Linked DNA regions of Caenorhabditis elegans. The protein of the gene in region 2 interacts with the protein of the main gene of each other region in a pairwise test. Each region holds a gene or a part of one and is shown on either strand. Other genes may lie near its edges.

Region 1 (4,893 bases), on a different chromosome or scaffold from region 2:
TTATTTTTCTAAGTAGACCTTGTCACAACCGTAGAGAATTTACTTGATGAGGAAATTTAAGTGTGGTTAGACTTCTGACTTCTCAGACTTCTGAGACTTCTGAGTAAGACTGAGTGAATAATAAACTCGTAAATACTGATTGCTAAAAAGTGTGGCTATCCACTATTCAGGAAGTATACTTATATGCTGTCATGGATGTTTTTCAGCAATAAAAATGCACTAAAAGTCATTTTGACCTCACACACCCGAAATATAAAGTTGCCACATTTTCCTATGTACAAACAAGAATGGAATAATTTTGTGTGTTCAGAGTGTTCCCATCACAATTTTGAAAGAGAGGTTGCCACGAGTTTCAGAACTCAAGAGGAGTAATATGAGCTCTAGCTAGGTTTTGGTTTAACCACTAACCGTGTCTTCCTCATCGTCCGAAGCTGGATACTGCTTCGGAGTTGGAAGAGTAGCCGATTCACGGGAATCTGAAATATAATTAAGTGTATTCAGTTTGCCCATTGTTGCCTGAGTTTGTTACCTCCTTTCTCCAATTTGACATTTTCCAAATCTTTGACCAATTTTTCGGTTTTCGAAGAATCTTTTCTGGATGCACTGCTTTCCTTTCTTGAACCAGAGTCACCTGAACCAGTACGACTTGGACTCGGAGATTTCTTCGCTTTTGGAGGGGACAATTCGCGACTTTTTTGGGCTGTTGGCTTACGAGGTGGAAGTGTTGAAATGGGTGCAGTTGGTTGATTTGAAACTTTTTGAGTGACTACGGTAGTTGTGGTAGTAGTGGTTTTTGCTGGGCTAGTTTTTGGACTTGAAGCCCCATTCTTAACACCGCTAGTTCCAGTTGTTCCAGTTGATGGAAGCTCATTTGGCAATAGTTTGGACTCAATCCCAGAAGTTTTTTTGGTTGTTGTTTCAATTACAGATGACTTTTTTGGACTCGGATCCAGGAGAGAGGTCTTCTGAAATTTATTAGGTTCTAACATAAATCGAAAAAGTTTTTTCCTAGATAAAGTTATGTGGATAAAATTTCAAGTTTAATCCTAAGTATTATTTCAGAAATCTCACCTTTTGAGAACACGCGGACGTTGCCTTCGACATCTTGCAAGATGAAATTTCCAAAAAAGTTTATTGATATGGAAACTTTTAGAATAATCTCGAAAGTTGGCTCAACATCTCGATTAAGTACCTTTCTACCAAGTCACGCCCACTTCTTGCTCACGCGTTTCTCGTTTTGATAATATAATAAGAGCAGAGTGCACACCTGTCTCCACGGTGATTAATTAAATTTCAATGGTTTCTTACTCTGTCACAAGATATTTTCGTAATCTTTTTTCTTTTGCAACCATAAGAATAATATATCACAATGCAAATCATGATTCGCTGAAAATTTAAGAGTTCAGATGTTCAGCTATGAATCATTGCAGACAACATTTTCACTGTTTGATCTGGATAGCTGATCACATTTTTCAGACAACTTGTGATTATTTCCTATTTCAGAAAAAGGTTGAAGTACAACAGAAAAATTCTTTATTAAGCTAACCATCGAATCAAATATATAATTCATGCAGTGTTCAAAGCACGATCCTCGTAGTCGGCAAGGCGGGAGTAGAGGATTTCCTGGAAAAAATGGTTTTAAAAATGTCAGTCAGGAGAATCGACTTCTAGATTCGAATGGTGAATTACTAACCCCATAAATATGAGCGAAAAAGTGTGCCCATTGTTCATCGTTCATTTCCAGTGGCTGATCGAATGAGCTTTTGCAGAATACACATCTAACCTAAAATTAATATTTCAAATTGAATCTGTTAATGAATACTGTCATACCACTTCCGGTGTGTGATCCAATTCACAGTGTTCACGGAATGTCTTCTTATTCTCGAAAGATTTCTGGCATAAATGACATTTTGCATTGAGGTTGTGGTCGTTCATTTCGTGATGGATTAGACCCTGAAAGTTTAATATTTTGTGTGTGCCAGTCGGTGTCAAGCTGCAGAGGTGTTTACTAATTTAATATATGAAATTTTGAGCAAAAGTGAGTTATTCCATTAAACTCAAACCTTTCTATTACACAGACGCGAAATTTTGCGACTATTGCACAAAAATACGGTTCCTGGTCTCGAGACGACATTTATTTTTGCTCAATACAAAAAGGCGCGCGTCTTTAAAGAGTACTGTAATTTCCAAATCTAGTTTCTGCGGAATTTAAAACGATAGTTTTTCAATAGAAGTATATTTAAAAAATAAATATAACCATAAACCCCAGAACTCTCAAAAGATCTGGAGAAAAATTATTCTTAAAAACTCCTGAAAATTCCGCAGAATAAAATTTTGAAATTACAGTACTCTTCAAAGGCGCACGCTTTTTAAAAAATTTAACAAAAACAGTCGCATAGAGACCGAGCACCGTATTCTTCGCGCGAAAATCGCAAACTTTGCGACTGTGTGATATTGTTGCAAACCGAGTCACCAATGCAATAATGCTTATTTCATCTATTACGTCAGAAGCTTGCACTTTTGTGTCCATAGTCAATTACCTTCAAAGTGTAGTGGTTACATCCACACTCATCACATCTGAAATTTCCCTCTGGAGTTGTCTGTCTTCTTCTAGTACTCCATCTCTCATGAGATCTAGAATCTGAATTTCTGTGACGTCTTCTTCCGTAATCAGTTCTTCTTCGCCGATCACGACAGCGGCTCCGGTTGTTGCTACTCGAGGAATTACAGACGTCACTCTCACTGTCACTGAAAATGAAAGAAATCTTCTAATGCAATGAAAACTGTGCTCACCATGAAATTTCTCCTTCCTCTTTCCACATTGGTTTGTCCCGTTTCGCCGTTTTTTGATGCTTCATCTTGGATGACTCACGGCTTCTCCGCTTCTCGTTTTGCCGTTTTTTTCTATCATTATCGGATACTTCGGAGTTGGTTGTTGAACTCGAATCACGTCGTCTTTTTCTACGATACGACAAAGGAAGTTTTCTGAAATTTAAGACCGCTGAAAATATCTGGAAATCTAAAGTTAAATGATGTTACCGTTCTCCTTCGGAATCGGATTCACTGGATGACGACATTAATATAAAAAACTAAAAGTGTAAATGTTCTTTCCATCATTCCCCACCCCTGACCCCATTGCCACATACCACCACGCAATGTAGGGCACCACGTTCTTTTTTTTCTGTTAATTTTATTTTTAATTTTTATTTTTAATGATATTCAGAACAAATGAAAAAAACGAGCAATAGTAGGATGTATGAAGACAAATGAAACAATCACCAAAAAAAATAAATAGCAAAAACAGAGGACAACGAATAAATACTATGCTTCTGAATATTTAGTTATTAGGGACGTAGACGTGAAAATTAATAACTTCTTCCAAACAGAGCGAAAGCCTTGGCATTGTATGTGCATGATGGGAAAAGACATTTTGATGGAAGTTCTTGTTTTGGTTGATCCAATGGAATACATAACGTCTTGGCTCCCATCTGTGCGCCTTCTCCGTCTTCTCTTGTTGATGCCTTCTTGATTTCCTCTTCACAGTCTGGACGACCACAGAATGGGGACAGTATAATGCACTTCTCGTCAAGAAGCTTCTTGAATTCTTCGATGCACGTGGTGCTCTTCAGGTGAGAGTCACGTTGAGCGAGTACCCTGAAGTATGGAATTTATTTCAACTTTTAAAAATTTTAACCAACTTATTGTACATAGCAGTATGAATTTCATCAAGAAGAGATTTGACAGTTTTAGACAGTCCTTCCAGGGAAAGTTGTTTCTTCTCTCCGTTGTGACGGATTACAGCGGTTACCTGGTTCTTTGCCAAATCATTTGGTCCGACCTCAAAACGGATTGGGACTCCTTTCAATTCCCAATGATTGAACTTCCAGCCAGCATTGTAGTTTTCTCTGTAATTAAAAACGTACATAACTGCATTCATTATTAATTTCAAACCTCAAATCGTGCTCAGCCTTTACTCCATCCGCGACCAAATCCTTGGTAACCTTATCAACAGCATCGAAAAGCGATTGCTTGTTCTCAGTCTTGAATCCAACTGGAACAACAATAACTTGAACAGCGGCAACTCTTGGTGGAAGTACTAATCCCTTGTCATCTCCGTGAATCATTACCATTGCACCAATGGTACGAGTGGAAAGACCCCACGAATTTTGCCAAGCGAATGCTCGTTCTCCTTCCTTCGCTGGATCCTCGTACGAAATATCAAACATCTTGGAGAAATTTTGTCCGAGATGGTGAGAAGTTGCTCCTTGGATTCCTCTACCATTGCATGCCACGTATGCTTCGACTGTCGTCGTAAAATCTCCTCCAGCAAACTTTTCCTTCTCACTCTTTCGTCCCTTCACAACTGGGATAGCGAGCAAATCAGTGTAGACTCCTGCGTAGAGATCAAGGATTTGGAAAACCTCTTTTTCAGCGTCTGCTGGGTTGGCAAAAGCCGTATGTCCCTCTTGCCAGAGAAATTCACGAGTACGAAGGAATGGTGTTGGATGCTTGAACTCCCATCGCTGTAAAGGAAAAAAGTATTATGATAATATTTTTGCAGTGGAGCAAGACAGCTAGGAGAAATTCAACAGAAATTTATAAAAATTTTTAACTAATTTCAATTAAAAAATCAATACTTACAACAACATTGCACCATTGGTTCAACTTGATTGGAAGATCGCGATGAGATTGAACCCATTTCTTGTAAGATGGGTACATAACTGTCTCTGAAGTTGGGCGAATAGCGATTGGTTCGGCCATTTCAGAGTTTCCAGCACGAGTAACCCAAGCAACTTCTGGGGCAAAATCAGCAATATGAGTCTTTTCGCGTTCGAGGGCAGCATTTGATACGAACATTGGGAAGTAGCAGTTCTTCACTCCTAATTTCTTAAT
Region 2 (6,847 bases):
ATGTCATGCAGACCTACTTTCACAGCTTTTATCTTGGTTCGGTAAAAAGTTATCAAGAAATTTTCAACAGCAAAGTTGGAGTAAAGAAGATGAGAAGTATTTTGTCAGTGGAAAAAGGTTTGATAAGATTAAAGGCAACTGAGATATGATGCAAAATAAAAGAGAAAAAAGTTGGCAGTAAAAAAGTGGAAGACATGGTGCATCGACCATAGCCTTGATATCTCATATCTCGGCTATGTTTCGTGTTATCAAAAAGTTATCAATTAACAAAATATTTATCAAGTATAGTGTCTTAAGTTCCGTAGTTGAACACTTCTTGATATTTTTAATGTGAACCAAGATATCGGTTGTCAAAAAAACGGGAGACATGGTGAATCGTCGGTATGCTTGACAACTTATATCTCGGCTACCTTTGGTTTTATAAAAAAGTTGTCAACTAACAAAATGTGTATTATATTCTTGGCTATGATTTGATACTTAGAAATTTAAAGATATCTACAATCTGGGCTAAGATATGAGAAGTCAAAGTTGGAAGGAAGACATGGTGCATCGACATGAATGAACAAGACGTATAGAGGAGTCACGGACTATAGCATTACAGTAAGATTATTGAACACCTATGCATTTCAAACTTCAGGGAAGCAACTAGGTAGTTCCAGAGCACAATGACCTAGGCGTCCGCCCCAGTGGTCAGCTGCAGCAGCGGTGCCAGTCTCTGTGATGATGCTCTCTGTTTTTGTTGACAACTCTGTGTCAGCTGATCTAGAAACTGAACTCCTCGAAGGGTGTTGTGTGTTGTGTGTTTCTCTTTTTCCCGGGCGGCGGCCGACGCGGTAGGCAGTGCCATGATGTTCCGACGTTCGAGGTGGCAGCAGCACAACAACACACAGCGGAGAAGAAGCATGCGAACAAAAAAAACGTCTGGTTTCTCTGATGCCCTAGCCCTCACCCACCCCACCCCGACTACTGGTACCAGGCGCCTCCTCGCCGCTCTTCAAGACCACCCCGTCGACGACGCTGCGCCAAAACAAACACGGCGACTGGCACGCTTCTTCTCAACTGCGTCTTCTTCTTATCCGCGCGGAACACACACAACACACACACACGGCATATAATAATTGTTTTGGCTCCGGCGTTCGGTGGGCTCCGCGCGGAGCAAAAGGAGCAAAAGAACGCACGTAGGAATTCGTCATTTATGTTTTGGTGACTAGGGACTAGTAGTCTTGAAAGAGTAGGATATTAGTATGAGGAGAGGTGAAAGAATCCAAGGGTCCAAAAAGATTTTTAGCATTTAAGGAGTCTAAACTTTTCCGAACACCTCGTGAAATTTTGCACCTGGCAGCAATTTTTGCACCTGGAGGGGTTCAGTTACTACATGAAAACTTTGAGGTTTTAGAGGGGTATTGTAGGATTACTGTAGTATTAATGTAGGGCTACTGTAGAAATACAAAAAAATTACGGTAGGGCTACTGTAGTATTACTGTAGGGCTACTGTAGAATTACAGAAAAATTACGATAGGGGTACGATCACTGTAACAGTTGATGCACCATGTTTTGCCGATTAACTTTGACAGCTTATATCTCGATTACTTTTACTGATATCAAAAAATGTTTAAAAATAGAACTATAGAGAAAGATATAAGAAATGTTTTGTCTGTTGCCAATTTTTGAACCAAAAACAACCAAGATTTGAACCAATGAAGTTGTGCTTGGCATTTTACTTTGAATGATCATATCTTGGTTTTTTAAAGAGATATCAAAAATTGTTAAACTACATTATTATAGAAAAGGTTATAATAAACATTTTGTCACTAGACAATGTTTTGATAACACCAAACACAACTGAAATACAAGACGTCAAAAAGCTGACGAAGGATTTTCAGTCGATGCACCATGTTTTTTTAAATTTCACAAAGTTTCCTATTTCCCATTCAAAATCACTAACCTTTTATTTTCAAATACTCAAATACGTAACCTTTTACCTTATCACATACCCTGGTCACCCCAACTCGTGGTATCAGGTTACCCCCTCGTAACCCATTCCGCGTGACCGCATGCCTGCCGGCGCGGCGGCAAGCGGCCTGGCACGGAGCTATGGGTGCCTGCCGGTGACATGATGATGCCCGTCCAACCATAGATAATAATAGGTAGACACCACATACAAACATATGTGTGTGTGTGCGTTCTTTTTTTGTTGGAAAAATGAGAGAGAAACTTTGACCACATACAAACATTTATGGCTATATCTAGTTGGATTTCAAAAACCATGTGTTTGACCTACATGTAGTACGGATTAACGGGATTGGTGGAAAATGTGGATAGGACCTTTGAAAACTGGGTTGATAGTGATTTCAGATCATGGTGCATGGACTAGATTTTAGGCAGGCGCGGGGCCTGAAGCCTGCCTGAAACCTGCCTGCTTTTTCCCCTTTTATGCATTTTAGGTGTATTTACACTGATGATTTTCAAATTAAAAAAAAAAGAAAAAAAAAACACGTATGATTTAGCATAAGTATTGAGGCAGGCGGAGATCGCCTGAAGGCCAGGCAGGTAGGCGTTTTATCGCCTACATAGGAGCCCTACACTTCAAAGTTGAGTCATATGAAATCAATGTAGAAAAAATTATGAAAAACAGCTTAACTAAACGTAACCGAAATATGGCCTCGATGCACCATGTTCAGAACTTTTCTTCGACAGACTCTATCTAAGAAGTGTTAATTTAAAAAAAAAAATTCCGATAAAACCAAAACCAGCCAAAATATGTAAGGAATTATGAAGAATGAAACAATTATTAAAAAGTTCCGAGAGGAGGAGTCCCAAGATAAAACAATAGCCTCACTCTCTCTCTCCCATATAACAACAAATGAAAACAACCTCCCAAAAAAAAACCAAACACAGAAGTAGACAATTGAAAGAGTGACGGGATGGTGAGAAACCAGTTCAAATGACCAGGTCATTGTTTCAGAGAAAACTGGTCACTTTTGTCGAGTTTTTTTTTGGGCAAACTATGTTAGGCAAGCCAATATCTCGGCTTTTTATGCTATTTGTAATTTTTTCCACGGGTTAATGTAGAAAAAGAGGTGAGCAATATTTTGTCAGTTGATAATTATTTTATAAACCCAGAGACAATTTAGATATAGAGCTGGTAAAGTTAAGTTTGCAAAACTTATCGATGCACCATGTTTTTATTTTGGTTTATTTTAGCGATATTAGTTACATATCAACTACAAATGTATAGAATAATGAATAAAACATTTATTACCAATAGACAACTTACTGGATAAACAGGGCGCGATTGGTGGGATAGCGGAGCGTCGTTTGAAAGTTTGAAAAATTGCAAGTTCTCTTTTTTTTTTGTGCAAAAAAGCTGGTAATAATGCACAAAAAAGTCATGTAAAATTTCAAATTCCCACCAAAAATTATTGGATAAACAGAGCGCGCTAGGGGATAGCGGAGTGTCGTTAGAAACTAGTAAATTTCAAAACTTGAAGGCTTCTAGTGGTGAAATCGATTTTGTTTTGGTGGTCGGTGGTGCAAAGCTGATAAATTTTAAATTCATAATTTAATCTGTGATTAGAGGGAGTTGGCCCGAAATTTGGAACTTTTTCTTTAAAAAAAAACTTCAAGTTAAATTGGCTAAACATCAAGCACTAGAGGGATAACGGAGTGTCGTTTGAAATTCAATGTTGCACTTGAAAACTGATAAAAAAGGGCCCAAACCCAACCCTAGATGGGTCCAAGCCTAGACAGGTCCCAGAAATTTCTAGAGAGCTCCAGATAGGCCAAACTCACTCACGTTTTTTCGTCTTTTTCTCGAAGAGTCCTCGCGCGCGGCGGAGTGCGGAAGCGGCATGATGCGACGCGACGAGCACTGCGGAAAAATGCCTGCGTCTCTTCGTCTCGCACGCTCTATCGGCTCGTTCCGCGCGCCCCTCCTGGTGTCGACTGGCACGTCGGGGCGCCCCCCCGCTGGCCACTTAGAGACGCAGAGTGTGGGAAAAAGAATGACCAGTGGTTGAAAAAATGACATTCAAAAAAGAAGAAGAAGAAGAAGGAAGGAGCAACAAACCACCAAACAACACAAAATTGATAAGGGTATGGGAAATCGCACAATTTTTGAGAATTCTCTCAAATAGGTCTAGGAGGTCTAAAAACTGAAATTCTGAATTGAGAAATCTATATTTAGGTCAAAAAGGTCTAAGTGTTAGGATCCTGAGCTATATTTCAGCCTAACGGAGTCTAAAATGCCAAAAATCATAGACTGGGTCTTTTTTGCAACCTAATTTTGGCATGTTTATACTTTTTATAGGTAGGGAGCCAAATTACGGACTAAAAGGTGATCGGTCTAGGGACTGGAATTTTGGTCTGAACGTTTGATTTGGGCTGTAAAGGCATTGATATTGGCCAGTCTTGGCCAGGCCATAACTTTTCCCGAAAGGGTTACAAACAGGGTTCTAGAGACTCTAGTTTTGGCCCAAAAAGGAGTTATGAAGCAAAAAGGGCCACAATACCCCAAAAATAACCTAAATGGTCCAAGTGTTGAGTTACGTTTCCTACCTGTTTAGTCTGGCAAAAAAAGCCTAGAAACCCTAATTCTGATCTAGGACCAAAATTTTATCATAAAGAGTATCAAAAAAGGCATAGGGACTTGAATTTCGGTCTGAAAGTTTGATTTGGTCTATGAAAGCCCTAATCTTGCAGGTCATACTTAGGCTGGAAGGCTTACAAACAGGGCTCTAAGTACTTTATTTTTAGCCACGCTAATCCTGATCTAGGACCCTTATTTTATCTCAAAGAGTTTCAAAAAGAGGCCCTTGAATATTGGCCGATCTGGTCTCAATGGGAACTTAAGAACCATGGGTCTTTCGTCTGGCAGAATAGGCTTAATTTGGGCCTAGGACCCGGATTTTATCTCATAGGGTTTCAATAAGTAAGCCCAAGCCTAAGCTTCAGCCTAAGCTCAAGCCTGAGCTCAAACCTCAGCCTAAGCTTAGACCCCAAGTTTGGCCAAAGGATCCTTGAAGAAGGACCAATATTTATTCGAATTTTTACCAAATATAAAGTACCATACTAAAAAACTTTTTTCATATCTTTCTGTATTTGTATGTTCTCTACTTTTTTCTTCTGTCTTCTTTACAAAACCTCCCCCCCCCCCCCCCATCTATCCATGATTCACATGCTGCCACACCTCCCCCACACTATTTCACTCTTTTTTCCTGCTGCTGCTGCTGCTGCAAGCATCGAGAAATACACACACAAATACACGGTGCTGGGTCACCACCTGGAGCCACCCATGGCTCTTTTCATATGTTTTTGCCTGGAAAATGACGACGACGCGGCAGCGGCAGCGGCAGAGACGCGGAGAACAAGCAGGGAGCGGAAGGAGTACGGGACCAGCGGGGCTAAGGGGGGCCTGGGAACCGGGGAGCCAAAAGTGGTCTGGGATCGTGCAAGGAACCAGGGAACCGAGTAAGCAAGGGAAACGGGGGTGCAAAAGCATTGCTTCATTCAGTTCCAAACTTGAGAAATTCAAAAAAAAAACAAAGCCCACGGGCATAGGAATTCTAAGGTGATAAGCACCGAGGCATCAAAAACGCTAGTTCGATTTTCATACACTTGAGCATTAGAAAAATCTTGTGTAGGCCTTCTAAGTCCAAAAGCCCAAAAACCGGTCGAAAAGGTCAGGTTTTTTTCAGAATTATTGAATTTTCTGGGGATTTCTTTTTGCTCTCTTTTTGTCCCCTGCTCAGCCTAAGCCTAAGCCTAAGCCTAAGCCTAATCCTTAGACTAAGCCTAAGCCTGAGCCTAAGCCTAGACCTGAGGCCAACCTTTGGCTCTCTGCAATTCTGACACCTCAAGGTACTTTTCCAGTCGACCAACTAGTACTACTACGACTAATACTAGAAACTTCTGTTGTTGTTGTCGTTCCGCGTCGCACCGCGCTGGCACCGACCGGCACACTGGCTCCGCCTGCCTAGCAGAGACTAGGCTGGCAGAAAAATGAGGAAAAAAACTAGGAGCGGGGGGGGGGGGGGGGGGTAGGGGTTGCTTGGGACCTTGGAGTTGAAAATTCTTGAAGTCAAGGGGTCTTGAGCTTCACGGGCCTACTGGACCTCCTTGGGCTTAGGGCCTACTGGTCTTTGGACTAGAAAACTCAAGGACTTTGAGTAAGAAACAACTGAGCTAGAAGATGAACAACAGGTGTAAGCCAGGGTAATACAGAACCTACATATAGTACAGGGAGTCTACATTTTGGTCTACATACATTCGGGCTAAAAGTTTTTATTTAGTCCAAACGGATCAAGCTTAGACTTTAGCTTCAGATTTGAAAGGTCGAACTGTAGGTATGAGCGATGCAACTTCCTGTTTAGGCGTATCAAGCTGTTTTATTTATCTAGCGAAGAACGGGAGAGCCTGAAGGCATCTAGATTACCAATTACACCCTATCAGAAACAAAACCGACAAAATTTCGAAATTTGGGTAATAAGCTCGGTTTTGATGTCGTAAGCTTTGATCGGGTGGCTGAATGAAAGGCTTTTGAGATTCTTCAAGGGATCTAGGTGGTTATGGAAGGATCTAAAGACACTAGACTTTAAGGCTTAGAGCTTTAAATGGCTTGGCTAGGTCCTATGCACCCTTAACCTATCAGAAACAAAACCGACATATAACATCAAAAAATTATCGCCACATAAAAAAAAATTGCATGCAAACAAAAAAATGTTTTCCTCTTTTTTTTTCTATCTCTTCCCTTTTTCTCGTTTCATCATTCCCCCATACTCTCCCTGAAAGTGGTACCGACAGATACGGAGCCCCCCGTCCTCCCCTGACCAGTCGCCTGGTCAGCTTA
Region 3 (5,260 bases), on a different chromosome or scaffold from region 2:
AATGTTAAATAAACTAAAGATAAACTTCAGCCCCTGAAATTTCAATTTTGAATGTTTTTGACTACTTCCAAAATCGGTAAGATTTTTTCAACAGCTGGTTTTGCAAATTTCATAGTAGTTTAAGAATAGAAAAACATTTTAAATGCTTCTAAATTTTATTGAAAAAGATCTGAAAGTTCGACATCTATGTTAATAAAAAAAGGCATATAGTTTTTCCAAATATCTTTCAGAAAAATATATCTTTACTTATTTATGAACAACTAGGAAAAAATAATAAACCATTTTGCTGAAAGAAAGTCAAGTAAAAGTTGTGAAGTTCAAAATGCCAATTCAAATTTTCAGATGACTTTCCAACCAAGCTCTTTCATTTCACAACGTACTCCTGCTGGTTCATCCAACTCTACTCGTTGATTGCAATCGCTGGCTCCCACATCCTCGCAGTTTATGGAACTCTGTACTATGCGCGCTTTACTCAGAAAAAGACAATTTTTGCTATCATCGGAATCGTCTTTTTATCCATGCTGTCTGTGTGCTACTTATGGTCTCCAGAGTTTCCAATTATTTTCCATCCCGAGTTTTGGGGTTGGACGGAAGAACGAAACAAACCTCTGGTTAACTTTTTCTTTTATCTTAACTATGTTGTACAGGTATTAAAAACGGGGAGAATTGACAAAAACTATATATTTCCGGTTCAGGGAATTGTTTTCTTTTGCTTGGGTCTCACTGATATTCTTATTGTTTACAAACTCAGCACAATCAAGGAATCGGTCTTTTCAAATGAGAAAAGCGCCACCGTAAGTAACAAAACTTATACTATCAAAATTAGTTTTTCTATTCAAAATCTTTTATACCCTTTTTGTCAAAATTGTGCCATAGACCAAATTTGTTAGGTCGCACCAGCAGAAATGATGCAAAAGATGCAGGTGTCGGTGGTGAATAGCGGAAACATGATGGCTCCCCGGAAGACTTCACGGGTCTCAACCGAACTCAAAGTCTCTATAAACTTCATCATCGTATCAATGTTTCTTCTTGTTCAGACGCTCATCTACAATATTTGTACACTGTAAGTCATCATTGTTATTTCCGTTCCCTTTTCTTATCACTGTTTTTTTTCAGATACGAAGACAACAACCTTTGTCTGTTCCTACTATTCATTGCACCAATTTTCCGTGGAAGTAAATGCCTTGCCTACATGGTCTCCGGAAGTGCACTTCGTAACGCAATTGTCAACCTGATTCTTTGCCGAAAGAAATTTTAAACTTTGAATCTCAATTTATTATAATAATTGCTAATTTATTTTTTATTCAATTCAATATCTCTTTTTCTACGCTCATTTCAATCTCATCCAAAAGTATACTTTACTAAATGAAGCTGAAAATCTCTATTTTTTTCCCTTGTCACACGGTGTTGTCATCCTCTTTTCCGTTGATGTTGTTTTTCTCTCACACCCTCTTGATTTTCAGCGAGCTGTTTCAGAAACCAAAAACTAGTGTGTGTACTAAAAGCCGTGAGAATATGATTGCTATATTCTGCATTACAAGTGCAAGACGAGAGACGCCTGCCTGTGTGCTCATGAGAATTTCTCTCCTTTTTGTCCCTTCTTTTTTTTGCAGTCTGGTGTTGCCGTCGTTTCCAAAAATAACGCAACTTTGGCAAATCGTATAGTAGAGCCTCCTTTCATTAACTTCGACGCACATTGTTATCAAAGAAATATAATTTTCTTATTTTTTCCAGCATAACACCTCGAAACCTCAACAGGCTCAAACAAAAATCGTATTATCAGTGACATGATTTGGAACTAACTGAAAATTGTAAAAACGTGAAAAACGAGCACATGTACGGCGTTATCACTAGTTTGAAGTTTTGAACCGATTAAAAGTGCACCTGGAGGAAAAAGAGGAAAATACCTTTTTATCATTTCTTCATTTTCACTCCTCACCCTGAAGAAAATATCCTCACTCTCTTGGCAAGACCCCCTAGACATGCTGATCAACACTAATAGCACTTCTGATGCAACCACAATAATTGATGTAAGCCATGTTTTTTCTTAGAAATTGAAATTTAAAAACAAATTTTGGCAGCTGCAAAACCGCTACTATCACGTCAACGCTGCACTGGAAAAAACGAGTTTTGACGTGGACGGGTTCAAGTGGTGAGTTCAGTTTTAAAAAGTTAAGAAAATAGAAACAGGGCTCGAGAAAATCTCAAATAGAAAGGAAAATTTTAGATCATTCAAATCTAGAAGTGGGTTATAATTAATACATATGAATTTTTAATTGCTAATTTCAAATGGTCAAATAATGAAAACCTGACATTGTAAATCTGGAAGAATTACTGAAAGCCTAAGTGTGTTTAAACTAATAGTTTTTTAAAAAATAACAGGAATAATTAATTATTTGCAAGAATAAACCATTTTAAAATAAGCAACATGACTGAAAATGATCAAATGTTAAATGCCGGAGTTCAAATTTTGCACACAAACTTGCTCATTTTATAACTTTAGAAATACACAGCTCAAGCAGCATTTTCTGTATTAGCAAGTACAAATTTATATATACTGTAAAAAAAATACACCTAACCAGATGGTCGTCAAAACTCAAGCTTCAAAAAACTTTGAAGCTCATGTATACTCTACAAATTCTATCGACTTCCTGTTTCATTATTTTATAATTTTTTAAAGCATATTGTTTGAACAATGTTTTTATTTTTACCATAATCATATCAAAAAGTTTCCGAAATTTCAGGCAAATTGTATTTGATTGTCAACAAATTATATTCACGCTCATATCAGAGATGGCAGAATTTTGCTCAATTGACCTGATTATTCATTGCACCGATTTCAAGTCTAGTTCCACTTTTGTAATGCTTGAAACATTAGAACGCTACAAAAAACGCAATACATTGCAGACCTCACAATTCGAGCGCAGCGGAGAGTCAGTTGTTCATGAGTGGCTGCCAGGCGGTCGCCACGTGCAACTGGAAATTGACCAAACGATTCAGTGAGTGCATCATGCACTCTTAATAATTAGGAACATTTTTCAGCGAAAGTCAATTTTCCGGATTGGACTTCAGCCAGCCGTTTGACAGTTCAAATGTTGTGCTAAAAGTTGAAGATGAGGAATTTCACGTACATACTTTTGTATGAATCGTTGGATTGTCATAAGCTCATGTTTACTTTTCAGGTTCTGAGCATGGCTTCTCAATATTTTAAAGTGTTATTCAATGGGTCTTTCATTGAATCCTCCGACCTAACAAAACCAATCGAACTGAAAGGAATATCGTCTTGTTCTTTTAGAAACCTTCTAAATTGTATATATGGATATCCCTCTGTGTTCAGAATAACACGTCAGTTTTCATTTCCAGACAGCTAATTGAAATCATTTTCAGGCGGGAATATTGTAGAGCTACTGGAATTAAGCCACTTTTTTGATTGCAAAAACGTTACAATGTTCTGTGAATATAATTTGTGTAATGATACCTGTTACAATATCCGATCAACTCAGAAAATGGAATGGGCTATCCGATATAATTTGAACACTTTGAAGGTAAAACATAAGATTCGTATTGATTATAACTCGTTTATTTTCAGAATAAACTTTTACGACATGAACCTTATTTGGTAGATCTTCTAAGTCTCACTTAGAAATTTTTTAACAACAACAGATACTCCCCTCATTGATTGTGATCTTGTATTTTATAAACATTTGAGATGTTATTATAGTTAATAAATGATTGCAGAACTTTTAGCTTGGTGAAAAGTATTTATTATCATTTTTTTAAACAATAATTTCAAAAGACGGATTTAGGTTTTTGAATTTATTGCGTTTTGAAAAAGTGGTTTGAAGGATTTTGTAATAAAAATGTTAAATAGTTTTCTATCGGAGAAAAATGCGATTGTACTCTTTCTGATTGAAAAATATCAATTTTTCGTCAAGTTTAAAAGTTAATATAATTTTCAAGTGCCGCGTCCAAACGCGAATAATCTGGAGGTTTTTCTCGACCGTTTTCAAAATAATATTCAAAATAACAAAGACTACTTTGGAATTTTTCCGCGTTCTGGTCCTTGCAAATAAATTTTGTTGCATTACGCCTTATCGTTTCAGTCATAAGCTTGTTGAAAATTTCAGAGCATTTTTTTCGTGGTTCTCGGAAAACATGAATAGTTTCGAACAATACAAATAATAGGAAGACGATTTTTATAACTCAACTGTTTCCATGGGAATCGAGGTTACAAACACTTCAGAAAAAAAAAATTAAATATTGTCGGTGCTATTGTTCGATAACTTTTCTAGTATTGAGTTAAACTGAACAGAATAATTTTGAAAATACTCAAAAACTAAGAGGCCGATGCTTTTTGATAATTTCATAGGTGGCACATTGAAAACGTTTAAATTCATTTCACCAAAAAGATACTATAAAAAATCTTCGCAAAAATACCTGTATGGCATCATGTGAAAGTGTGCAACACTAATAAATACACAAACTAGTTGAAAAAACTGCATTCAAGTAACAAACATTAAAATAATAGTCTGATTCATTTTCATTACGATTTATTAACAAAGCAACGCAAAAAAAAACTGATCAAACTCTAAGTAGCAGCACATCGTGTCAACCAATTTTTGAGTAAATAATTTGTATTGGTTATCATAGAAAAGGTAAAAAATCACACTTGTTTGTTCGCAAACACTTCTGATAAAAATTGTTTACTATTTGAGAACCAATATGGCAAAGTTAATCATTTTTGACATCACATTTTCTGAATTGAGAATTTTTGCTGTCACATTTTTTCCGGTCAATCTAAAAATCAAACCACAACAATGCATTCATCTCTTATTGTTTTCTTGTTATCCTAAACCCTAAATAGATGTTTGCAAGAAGAAGAAAAAACACCTTTATGTGACTCAGGTGTTTTTATAATATATCGTTAGGTCAGCTTTTTTTAAAAACAGTTGTATTATGATATAATTTTTCTACATTTTCTTCAAAACCGCTCTGTTATCCAGTTCCAATGACCAATAAACTATGTCACGTTATCTTGATGTTTATGTTGTTATCTTGACCAAAGTACGGCTGTTCATGGCAATACTGTTCTATCCATAATCGTAGCCTAATGAATACATTTTATGCAAACGGTTTCCTGAATTTTTCCGACTTTTTCTGTGAGTCGAAATAGACTACGCATTTGTCAGTGGAAGAGTTTGTTTATGCGTTCCACACTGACCACGTGATGGTGCCTCGTCGCGCACTACATTTTTTCCTC

What was found.
Region 1: the proteins of znf-782 (region 2) and ztf-31 interact in a two-hybrid assay, tested with the Caenorhabditis elegans proteins (one large-scale study listed by BioGRID).
Region 3: the proteins of znf-782 (region 2) and C15H9.2 interact in a two-hybrid assay, tested with the Caenorhabditis elegans proteins (one large-scale study listed by BioGRID).

The regions. Positions count from the first base shown.
Region 1 is NC_003281.10:7,239,574-7,244,466, reverse strand, and holds ztf-31 (C2H2-type domain-containing protein), read right to left. Parts: upstream 3,103-4,893; 5' UTR 3,078-3,102; coding exon 3,040-3,077; intron 2,986-3,039; coding exon 2,794-2,985; intron 2,749-2,793; coding exon 2,541-2,748; intron 1,954-2,540; coding exon 1,831-1,953; intron 1,784-1,830; coding exon 1,694-1,783; intron 1,624-1,693; coding exon 1,567-1,623; 3' UTR 1,517-1,566; downstream 1-1,516. Other genes in the region: osm-10 (Major sperm protein), read right to left, coding at 409-476, 530-965, 1,072-1,104; pars-1 (proline--tRNA ligase), read right to left, coding at 3,366-3,654, 3,699-3,905, 3,952-4,523, 4,642-4,893.
Region 2 is NC_003282.8:1,063,686-1,070,532, forward strand, and holds the start of znf-782 (C2H2-type domain-containing protein), read right to left. Parts: upstream 3,841-6,847; 5' UTR 3,797-3,840; intron 1-3,796.
Region 3 is NC_003284.9:6,116,794-6,122,053, forward strand, and holds C15H9.2 (BTB domain-containing protein), read left to right. Parts: upstream 1-1,732; 5' UTR 1,733-1,982; coding exon 1,983-2,030; intron 2,031-2,081; coding exon 2,082-2,152; intron 2,153-2,744; coding exon 2,745-2,859; intron 2,860-2,907; coding exon 2,908-2,999; intron 3,000-3,042; coding exon 3,043-3,139; intron 3,140-3,182; coding exon 3,183-3,345; intron 3,346-3,387; coding exon 3,388-3,545; intron 3,546-3,589; coding exon 3,590-3,643; 3' UTR 3,644-3,744; downstream 3,745-5,260. Other genes in the region: C15H9.3 (7TM GPCR serpentine receptor class x (Srx) domain-containing protein), read left to right, coding at 343-647, 696-794, 891-1,063, 1,117-1,258.